Oryza sativa Japonica Group: one gene and its partners. The protein of the gene in region 2 interacts with the protein of the main gene of each other region in a pairwise test. Links are inferred from orthologs where the notes say so. Each region holds a gene or a part of one and is shown on either strand. Other genes may lie near its edges.

Evidence for each region.
Region 1: the proteins of putative protein Brevis radix-like 3 (region 2) and thioredoxin O, mitochondrial interact in binary tests that used the Arabidopsis thaliana proteins (3 or more experiments, as listed by UniProt). The link is inferred for Oryza sativa Japonica Group from reciprocal best matches to the Arabidopsis thaliana genes BRX and TO1.
Region 3: the proteins of putative protein Brevis radix-like 3 (region 2) and probable E3 ubiquitin-protein ligase XERICO interact in binary tests that used the Arabidopsis thaliana proteins (3 or more experiments, as listed by UniProt). The link is inferred for Oryza sativa Japonica Group from reciprocal best matches to the Arabidopsis thaliana genes BRX and AT1G49850.

Annotation. Positions count from the first base shown.
Region 1 is NC_089040.1:28,394,765-28,398,451, reverse strand, and holds thioredoxin O, mitochondrial, read right to left. Parts: upstream 2,849-3,687; 5' UTR 2,839-2,848; coding exon 2,661-2,838; intron 2,575-2,660; coding exon 2,509-2,574; intron 2,389-2,508; coding exon 2,334-2,388; intron 2,237-2,333; coding exon 2,161-2,236; intron 1,149-2,160; coding exon 1,104-1,148; intron 988-1,103; coding exon 893-987; intron 691-892; coding exon 681-690; 3' UTR 255-680; downstream 1-254. UniProt on the Arabidopsis thaliana protein: Thiol-disulfide oxidoreductase that may participate in various redox reactions. Possesses insulin disulfide bonds reducing activity. Reduced by thioredoxin reductases NTRA and NTRB.
Region 2 is NC_089038.1:30,809,230-30,812,979, reverse strand, and holds the start of putative protein Brevis radix-like 3, read left to right. Parts: upstream 1-1,157; 5' UTR 1,158-1,564; intron 1,565-1,841; 5' UTR 1,842-1,989; intron 1,990-3,605; 5' UTR 3,606-3,714; coding exon 3,715-3,750. UniProt on the Arabidopsis thaliana protein: Acts as a regulator of cell proliferation and elongation in the root and shoot. Regulates roots architecture and primary root protophloem differentiation.
Region 3 is NC_089046.1:24,770,558-24,774,307, reverse strand, and holds the start of probable E3 ubiquitin-protein ligase XERICO, read right to left. Parts: upstream 2,632-3,750; 5' UTR 2,501-2,631; coding exon 2,357-2,500; intron 1-2,356. UniProt on the Arabidopsis thaliana protein: Probable E3 ubiquitin-protein ligase that may possess E3 ubiquitin ligase activity in vitro.

The DNA of each region.
Region 1 (3,687 bases), on a different chromosome or scaffold from region 2:
AGGCCTTTGAATCTGGAGTGCTAATTCGGCAATGGCATATTTTCGTTCCTGCCGCCTCGCATCTGTCCGTGCGTGGCCGTTTTGATTGGTCAGGTTTTCTTTATGTCCATCTATTTTTTTTCACCTGTTCAAGAACCCCTGCATCTGTCCGTGCGTGGCCGTTTTGACCTTTGGAGTATGGATAGTCTGGATAGTGGCCTAGTGGGTAGAGCACGATCACAGTATACGGTGCAACGCACCAGATTGCTCAGAAATTCAGGTGAAACTCAAGCATTTAATTTATTTTTTTTCACTTTCGAGACGCCAAACATCGTAGGTTCATGATTAACTTGTGCCGATGGCGAGAAAAAATTCTGGGGGACTTGTAGCCCAACACTGGAATGGTTGAACTATGACAAAGGCCCAGAAAAACAATGGATGGACTGACAGGCCCAGAATTCCTTCACGTCTATCCCAACAAAATTAGTGGGTTGCTGCATCCCAACAGAATGTTTGCGTTGATTCTGATATTAGACATGCAGACTATACAAAGTTGTGCTAAATAAACAAGAGGTGCAATGTACTGAATTCAGCATGATAAAAAACAACCAGAAGGTTCAGAAATATCAATGTCAAACACGTTGATGGAAGGCACATGGAGACATCTGGCCACCTCCCGGTCATATTCTTCCACAAAACTTCTATAGTTGCCTGTGCAACAAAAGCATAATACCAGGGGCACTTAGTAAGTGATGGACACAAGTGTATGAACTCGTATGCATATCTTATCATCACAACCAAGGTTTTGCTTGTTTTGTAGTGACAGGATTAAATTTAATTGGTCAGGTTTTCTTTATGTCCATCTATTTAACAACAGAGATAACAAGGGAATAATATAAATTGAATTTCTTACTTGTGAAGACTTTCCATGGTTGATTCAAGTTTTGTCGCATTAGCACCAACCACCTCACCTGTCTTCCGACCTTGGTAGTAGAAATGGAATGTTGGCTACAAGAGCAAAACATGTTGGCAACAAAGAAAAAGAGATCTAGATAACTGGAGGAAGCTGCGCAGAAATTTAGGCACACAGTCATGAGCTATAGTCATAGTACAATGCAACTTACCACAGAGAATATTTTTAGATCACTTAGTTTGCTTCCAACACCATCCTGCAAAAGCAACACAGGTCAGGGAAGTGCCTATCAATAAACATGTCCAAGCATGGCCATAAGGTTCAGATAATTATTTCAGCCATAATCAAAATTGGTAACATAGTGAAACACATTTTGCCTTTCAATGTACTGAAAGTATAGGAGTGTTCTCAATAGAGTATTCCAGTTATTGAGTGAACTAACCAAACAGTGTAGCATATTAGTCTTTGAAATCAGAATACAAAGGTAGGAAGCTCTGAACCGGACACCATCTTGATTAACAGTGATTCATGGAACAGTATTACGGATATTCAGTGAAAAATTCCCATCTCATAACTTTGCCTTCTACATATGCAGATCCCATACTTGAACATAAGTAGTGCTAGAATGATGCGAAATATTTCAGACTAGATCCAGATTGGTCAATTGACTCGAGGCTTTCTACAGAAGAACAGGATTGGTTCAATCACTAGCACTTGAGTTTTAAGCATTGTAGTTTACTAAGGGCACGTTTGGATTTCTGGAATATTTTGCCTAGCCAAGCAATGCCAAAGTAGTCAGGTTAGGCTATATAGCCTATGGCAACAAGAGAGTTCATTTGGTTTCATGGCTGCTCAAGCAAAACTACCAACGATCATTGCTTGCCGCTGGAGGAGAGCTGATTTGGCTCTCCCTGGTGGGCAAGGATTTTGAGGCAGTTATTGCCTAACTTGCCCTCAAAATCTAGGATTTTTTGTTTGTACCAAATGCCTCTCCTAACTTAGCAAGGATAGAACTTCCCTTGCTCAAGATTAAAACACACCCTAAAAAGCATAAGCCAAACCTAAACTTTGAAAGGACAGGGGTCAAAAATACTACTCTGCAGTTAACACATGGGAGGTAATGCAATTATACATGACAAACAATCTTCAACTATGAACATATGAGTAACCAAACAATTTTGCAATTTTAATCCCAACAACACCTATTTGAGCAAGAAGAACACTTCGGCGCATCACAATCGCAGCGAGATTTGGATCCGCCCACTTACCATGTCAATGTCAACTTTGTAGATAGGTATCTTGGGGTACCGGCTGCTCAGTTTTGAAATCACGGGTGCCATCGCTCTACCTACAAACACCAAACAACCCATCTTATAACACCTCACATCATCATCAACCATCTAATTCCAAAAATCCCAATTTCGGCACGAAGATCCGGCACTTACAAGGCCCGCACCATACCGCCGTGTAGTAGAACACGGCCGGAAGCTTCTCCGCTGCAAAAAGGAAATCGCGCGCATCCATGAGACCATGATCCAATCCTACCCACCAAAACACTAACAAACAACAGCAGCAAAGGTGGAAGGGGAGAGGAAGAGGAATCGGGCGCGCCGCACCTTCCACCTTGGACATGATGCTGGTGAAGGACTCCGCCGATCCGACCACCACCATGCTGGAATCACCTGCAACAACAAAGAAGAAAAAGAAAAAGAAAAGAAAACACGATTATCTCGAGTCCAGTAACCACTTGAGGAGAAGTGGTGAGTACCTGAGGAGGAGGGGGTGGTGGAGAAGAGGCGGGAGAGAGAGGGAAACGGCGGCGGGGAGGAGAGGGGAGGAGGAGGCGCGGGGCTAGGTTTTCCGGGGAGGTAGGGTTTGGAGGCGGCGGCGGCGGCGGCGAGGGGGAGGAGGCGAGGAAGACGGCAGAGTCGGTGAGCCAGAGCCATACTGTGCCACGTCGCCGTGAAAGATTTTGCCTCTTTTGTGCGTAAAAGCTCGGAGACGCCAAGCCCACGACGAAACCGCATGGGCCTGAAAGTTTCTCACACAGTAGGATGGGCTTCCGGCCCAGTGTATTTCAGGCCCATTTATTCTTTACAAGTCTGTTTATCTTTTTATTTGATTGATTGAATAATAAATACTCTCTCTAGTTTTTAACTGATGACGTTGTTAGATTTTGAATATACAATTTGACTATTGGTCTTACTTAAAAATAAATTTTACAATATGCAAAAATATCGATTATCCTTATTTTTTAATAAGACGAACAATCAAACATATGTCTAAAAGTCAAAAGTGTGATCTACTGAAAACCGGATGGAGTACTAAAGTAGCAAACCGATTTTTAACAAAAATTTAAAATGAGTTTTTTCTTTAGGAAAACCACCTAAGCTCAGACAGTGAGCGACAGTTGCAAAGCTTTGTTTGAGACCTTATAAAGAATATCTTTATCTTTAGACCACAAGTAGAGATTACTAAAGAATGGGATAGTGGAGCATTATTGCGCATTATCGGTGACTGCAAAATCCATCATAAGGCTTGGTTATAAAACTCTTCACTAACATTCACTAGTTGGGCCACATGACCTAACAGAAAGGATAGGAAATTATTTAGGGAGAGAAAGAACCTGATCCACCATGTAAAATTGAGTTGCAAGGAAAGACCAGGACCTACCAATCTATCCATATTTGTCCCTAAAGGCTCCACCAGACTGCATGAAATGGAAGTAGCTATGATGATTACTATTTGAGAGTGAAACTGAAACCAAATCTGACAGACAAATTGTGTGTGCATGT
Region 2 (3,750 bases):
CGCCGCCTGTATCGCAGTACAGCACGCTCGTTTATCCGGTCTGTGACCAGTCACAGACCGGTCAGATCATGGGTTAGGTGGCGACAGGCGGTCTGACGCACGCCTCGCCCCATCCCGTCAGGACGAGAGCCTCCAAGCACTCGTCCCTAGCTGGAGCCGGCGTGTTAGCTCCTGGAGATGGCACGTTGGTTCCGGTCAGATATATGCCAGGCTTCATCCTAACCATTACAGGCAAGATATTGTATGAAGAAGGGCGAACATGCAGATTGTTAAACTGACACGTGGTGGACAAGAATGACCGATTTGTGACCGGTCTGACAATGGTCAAGTCATCAGCAGACAGCCATCTTCCCACGTCGCGCCTGCCTCCGGCGGAAGTGGAGGTAGGTATGGGCCGTCCCATCAGAAGGTCATTCGGACGGCGGCGATGCAAATCTCCGTCTGTTAATGAAGAGAAGTCAAATTGGAAGAAAGAGAGGGGGAGATGGTGCATGTGGTATCCCCTTAAGATATAAAAGGAGGACCTTGCCCACTTAGAGGGGGGATGATTGGACTTTTCCAGATTGGGAACCCAGAACAAGAGAGAGGCTGGCTCATACTTTGTAGCTCCTTCATACACAGATCCTCCAAAACACAGGAGTAGGGTATTACGCTTCTCAGCGGCCCGAACCTGTATACATCGCCGGCGTCTTGTGTGTTTCCTGTCTCGCGAACCTTCCACAAATTGGGAGCTTAGAGTCTCACCCAGGGTCCCCGGCCGAACCGGCAAAAGGGGACCAGCGCGGTCTCCCGGTGAGGAGCCCCACGCTCCGTCAGTCGCTATGGGCTACTCGCCTATTGGGCTTGCAAGCACACGCTGACGTACTTTGCGCCATCAAGATCGGACGGTCCTCGATCATGACAAAGCCCCGTCAGCATATGCATCACATCGCACGGTCCTGATCGCGCCACGGCAGCACGTTCGTCATCGCCACGGTCCGTGCCGGGGCCCGGGCCTTCGCGGGCCCCGCAGCGAATCACCGTAGGTGGGGCCCAGCCCAGGACCAGGGAGATGACCACACGCCGCGCAGGATCGGACGGCCGCGATCTCGCGGGGACCGCCGCGTGTCCCGTGGGGGAGGGACTATATATGGGCCGGAAACGAGACGGCTTGCACTGCCTGTGCACTCGGCGCCCTCTCGTCGTATATGGGGGAAGGATCCGACGGCCCAGCGCGACGCCCGCAGTGTTCTCTCCCTCCCCACCTCGATCTCTCTCTCTCGCTTCGTGGCTCTTCTCTCCTGCGACTGCGAGAGGAATCTCCCACTCAGTCCCAGATTGTTTCTGTGCGGCGACAGCGTCGCTGCGTAGCTTCTGATATCTTTGCCGCCGCTGTGTTTGGCGCCATTGACGCAGCCGCATCCACTCCTCGACCAGACAAGGGAGGCCTTTCTCTCTGTGCTATCTCCAAAGGCTTCTGAGTCGATTCAGAGGCAGAGCTCGAAACCGAAAGGGCGGCGAAGGTGAAGCCGACCGGCGGGCTGCAAATTGCGCTCGTTCGCTCACCGGCGACGTGGAGGAGAAGGTAATGGTGGTGACGGCGACGCACGCAACCAGCTTGCTTGATGCTTCGTCTTATCTTTGCTTTGCTTTTTTTTTGTGTGTGTGTGTGTTGAGTTACACTTTTTCTATGTTTTGTTTTCTCGTCTTGCATGCCGTTTCTTACCCTGTTCTGTTCACCAGAAAGTCAAAGTCCGTTTATCTTGGTGTCAAAAATAAAAGGCCGTTTCTCCTTGCATCCCGCTCTCGCTTCTAGGCGTATACATATTTATTTTGGCACATTTTTGTCTGCATCATTTCAGGCGCCGGAGAGAGAGGAAGAGGAGGCGGAGCAACCCGGTCAGCGCGCGCGTAGGTGGTTTGGGTACGCACACTGTTTACACGGCGAGCAAACTCGGAGGAGAGAGAGAGCTGTGGCTAACGTAGCTATCTGGGGGCCGTCAGTTACCTGTAAGCATCATCTCATCACTCTCACTGTGCCTCTCATTTCTCTCTCCCTCTACAGCAACATTAATTAATTACTAGCTGATACTACTACTGTACAAAAGAAATTACTACCACCGGCCAAAAGAAAACACACACAATACCGTGTTTAAGGTTATCACGTCGTGTTTCTATTAAAAAAGCGCAAAAGATAATCAGCAAAAACCCTACCGGGCTCCACAATGCAGTCACTCGATAGCCGGTCGCTTTAGCCGGGGCCCATATTTTTCTCGGTAGGGATGGAGCAGGAGGAAAAAAAAAATAAAGTCCAGGCAGTACGTTGATCTGGGGGAGGGCGTGGGGCCCCAGCTGCAGTGACTGTAGCTGATACACATCTGAGCGGCTCCCTGCCTCGTCCACCGAGCTACTGCTGTTGGTGTCGTTTGGAGTCTTCCCCATACGCCCCTGCCTACCTCGCGTGGGTAGCTGCGCCTCATCTGCATGAACACTGTGCACAACACATACACAAACGGGCGGAGCTAGCTAGCCATAGCACACTGGTGGTTAATAAATTTCCATGTGCGCGTAAACATCAGAAGCTTCCCTGCCGCAATGTAGCTGACCGTATTTTACTACTACAACCTGCTTTTCAGTTTTGATTTACTAGTAGTATATGTGTGTGTGTCATGTGGCATGGCGATTAAAGAATCTCTGTGCCTGTGCCCGTCGATCGATCTGCTTTGCCCCGCGTAGCGTTTCTTCCACTGTGTTAGAGCAGCCTGCGAATGCATGCCATGCATGCAGGAGTAGCTGTGAACGACTGTGATGCTGCCATTGGCATGGGTCTTGCTTGCTTTGTTATGCTGGTGCTATACTTTTTTGTCGCTGCAGGCTCCAGTGCTCCACTGCACCAGCTAGCCAGCCAGCTTGCCCCGTTTTGACGCCGGTGGCGAATTGAAGCTCCAGAGACCAGAGTCCCTAGCTATAGCTATCTCTCGTACATACGCATGCTTGCATTGCTCTCTGTTGCTCAACGAGCCGGAAGGACAGCTCCTCCGACGCACACGCATGCGCACGTGTGCGTGGTCACGGACCGGCCGGATAGCTCTGTGCTCGCATAGTGTACCGGATGTCGTGTTCGCGTGCTTACATGTGAGATGCAAGGATGGCATGGCACGTCTGGTCCAAATGGTGTGTGGTACTAGAATGGCGTCACACACCGGCTTGGAAACCGCTTTACGTTATTACAGTACATTGTAGATTGTGGCTATGGCTAGAGGATACTAGACTGATAGTGTCACTGTTGATACTTGATAGGAGTACGTACTTTCGGCGTGTATTTATTTTGGTCGTACATACGTGTGCGTGGATACACGAAATCTCGCACTCGTTTAATTATCATGGAAATGTGTACTATACATGTACTAAGTGTACTATTGCCATGCGAACAACGACAAAGTTTGACCATCTCATGGATAGACATTCTATCACATGCATGCATGCAACTGTAGCCGTGGGCTGTAGTGTCTACATGACGGCATGTCTGATCAAACTTGATCTTTCGTTACAGCGGCTTCAATTCTGATAGATAGCCGTACTGTGGTAGTACTATATATGTAACGCTAATGCACACACTTTTGCAGTTCGATACACAAGGTGAGATTGTGGGGGGAGCGATTGACTACTGATTGATCCGTCTCGTCGTCGTCGATCGAGGAGAGGGAGGCAGATAGGGAGAGGGGGTCAGAGAAGATGCTGGCATGCATCGCGTGCTCCTCCAAGGAAGGC
Region 3 (3,750 bases), on a different chromosome or scaffold from region 2:
GACTGTATATGTTTAGTAATGGGAAATCTAGTCCATAATTTTGGCGCGAAGACAAGCATTAGTTAGTCAGAAACGATTGCTACTAAACAATGGGAATTTCCATAAAAGGTTTTGAAATAGCAGTTTACCAGCAATTAACATCTAATTAGTACTAGTATGAATGTAAAGTACTACAGGCTTAATTGGGCTACTAAATTTGAGATACCAACCAAAGAACTGTCTTTGTCATTTAACCATAAATCTACATTGAAATTAGTTGAACCTCTCAGAAAAAGATTTCGGTATATGCTACTAGTATTCCACGAGTACCTTCTTATCATGGTTGTAGTAAATACCCTTCACGAGTTACAGCACATGTACAGATGTACTCTACCTAGTTTGAAAAGGATTGTCAAACTTTCTACTAGTACCACTGTACCAGCTGATGAATTCCCCAGAACACCAGCAAACACATTAATGTTTCTTGAAGAACAAAAGATCACCGAACCCATCATTTACACTCATAATCATAGATCTCATCAACGACCAAATTTACTAACACATAACTTAGATTTTGCGAGAACCAGACTTGACATTTTTTTTTTTGAGAAAATTCGATCTATAGCACAGAAGAGAAAGCGGTACCAAAAAATAGCACATAAATTTTTCGCTTTCGGCGAGAAGCACAGGCCACCGTTTTTCCTTCGACCCGTAGCACTTCCGTCACATTATGAGGTAACGGCGTTAGATCGAAGTGGAGAAAAATATCGTTGGACTCATTTGCCCTTCGTCTCTTCTCCCTTATTCCCCATTTCCTCCCTCTTTCCAAGTCCCTATACGAAGTCCCACCCTCTGCTACCGCCGCTGCAGCCATGCGGGCAAGCGCCACTGCACGCTCCCTGAAGGGCTTCCCCTTGTCGCCGACCACGGCGGCGATCGCCTTCGCCATCTGCCCAGAGTCAGGCACGGCGTCCGCGCCCTCCGCCAGGTGCATCGCCACGCCGGCCTCCACCAGCAAAATCTTGTTCACGAAGTGGTCGGCGACCATGGGCCACGTGAGCATCGCGACGCCCGCCGACGTCGCCTCCAGCATCGTGTTCGTGCCGCAGTGCATCAGGGACCACCCCACGGCGCGGTGGCGCGGGATCGCCACCTGCGGCGCCCACCCGCGGATGACCAGGCCCGTCCCCACGCCATTGTCGCCGCCTCGAACCCTTTCGGCAGCGCTGCGGCGGTGACGCTGTCCGCGGCCCACACGAGCGCCGCCGAGCTCCGCGTCAGCGCCTCAGCCACGCACGCCACCTGCGCCGGCGACAGTGACTGCTGCGTCGCTAAGTTGACGTACACGACGGCGCCATCGGCGAAGGCGTCCAGCCAGGCACCCACCTCTGTCGGTAGCACCGCCGGTCCGCCACGGTCGCTGGACGAAGGCCATGGCTAACAACCTTGAGCCCACCGGAGGACACTTCAAGTCCAAATAGGCGGCCTCCAAGGCTGCGAACGTGTTGACAACGACGCACTTGGTATCCAAGCTCCACAGCAAAGGAACCATCAAAAGAGAATGAACGGGAAATAGCTGAGGAAATAGGGAATAAGGGAGAAGAGATGAAGGGCAAATGAGTCCAATGACATTTTTCTCCACTCAGATCTAACACCGTTACCTCAGGATGCGACGGAAGTGCTATGGTACGAAGGAAAAACGGTGGCCTGTGCTTCTCGTCGAAAGCGAAAAAATTGTGTGCTATTTTTTGGTACCGCTTTTTTTCTTGTGCTATGGATCGAATTTTCTCTTTTTTTTCTATGAGAGCCAAACATTTGGTTACTAACTTGCCATAGATCTGACAAGGGCATGCATATGAAAGTGCAGATGATCTGATTCACTGATGCACGCCTCAGTTCATCTCAACTGACCACAACTAATCACTCTACCAAAGCTTCCAACACAAATCTTCACTGGGGTGAGCCCTACAAAACAAAAGATGAAATTCTCCACTTCTTTAGTTCTTACAAGCTGATTGCTGATCCAAGTACCAGATTGGAACTCCCCTGGTGTCTCCTTCCTAGGCAAATCTCTAAAACCATCCATTTCCCCTTCCAAATCAGCAATCAAATCTCAATCTAAACCCTCCCTTCTAAAATCGTTTCTTACTTTCTTTGGAACCTCACCCAAATCGCCAGCACTTGGCCACAACGCCACAAAACCATGAACCACACCATGATTCTCACTAGCTACTCCTAAGCTGAAATCCAACTAAACACTGGAGACGAAATCCTCCTCCGAAAACTTCTCCTCACTCGAGAAGCCGTAAAAATAAATAATAAAATAATAATAATAAGTTCGCAGCCTTAGCCAAGAAACGGCAGAAAGCTAGCTCACCGGCTTGCGGCGGCGTGCGGCGGAGGCTCCGGCTCCGGCTCGGCAGGGCCTGCGGCGAGGGTCGGGAGGCTCCGGCTCCGGCTCCGGCGGCGCCGGCGATGGGCGGCGGCGCTGGAAGTAGACGAGCTTGGAGGCGATCGGCATGGAGAAGAAGAAGAAGAAGATGTGGCGAAATATTGCAGCTTCACCTGTTTCTCTCCAACTTTTATATTACCTCGGCTGCTTCTTTTTTCTCTGCACTTTTCTTCAGATATCTCTGCACTACTACTACTACTACCTCTTGAAAGTTGAAACCTTTCTTCTTCTTTTTTCCTCTGAAAGTTTCTGAATTTTCTCGCTCACGTCAACGTTGCTTTTTTGTATCGATTCTTCGCAAAATCCTCGAAAAGATGATTTGTTGTGTTGTGCGCCATCGCAGTTAAGGGTTTTGGACGGCTTAAATGAAGCTAGAAGCGTGATAAGGGCGCCCGCAATGGTTATTTATAGGCTCTCTATAAGATATCCATAAGATATCCATGTCAGCATATTATCCTACTTGGAAGAGACTAAATGAAGAGAGAGAACAAAGCTATATACTAACCTAGAGATAGTCTATAGATAAAAACGAGGCAATGGATTAGAGAGCTATAGATACACATGTAGACATACTATTGAGGTGGTTTACTATTAATCTAATCTATTGCTGAGATGTACATGTTTTATAGAGAGCATCTTATTTTACCATTATGGGTGCTCTAAAAGCAGGTACAATACCTGGCTATAAGCCAACTGCAAACATATTTTAATAAGATAAATAAGAAGAGAGAATAGCAGCGGGCTATAAATTTATAGCCAGCTGTAATACGGACTTCAAGACGCAGGGTGTGTATAACAAGTAGGACCAGGTATTAATAGTGTAGTATGTAAATATTGTATGAATGAGCTATTAGGTTGGCTATAGATGAATTGAAGCCAATAGTTGGATATACTATTAAACTTGCTCTAAACTACTGATGAAAACGACATAATATCAAGGGCACAAAACAGGAGAGGAAAAAAATTGCAATCTTTAAAAACGCAATCTTTTCACACTACTTCAGTGATGAAGAAACGGTTATTTGAGATATAGTGTCGACATGTCTCCGTATTTAGCTGTGTAAACAAACTTAGGCGCACTAAATCAGAATCAAAATGGAACTAAATCTGAATGAAAATTATTGGTATGTAGAACAATTTTATTCTGCGTGGATCATATGTGGGGGCTTGATGATGGCCATATCTCCAAGTTGATCACTTTAGACATGATGGAAATTAGTGCGCCTTTTGGTGACCTGCAAGGTCATTAATCCAGAACCAACTCTGGAAGACCAAATTAAATGTTGCCAAATGTACATTGAGTATTATAAAGATCAGCT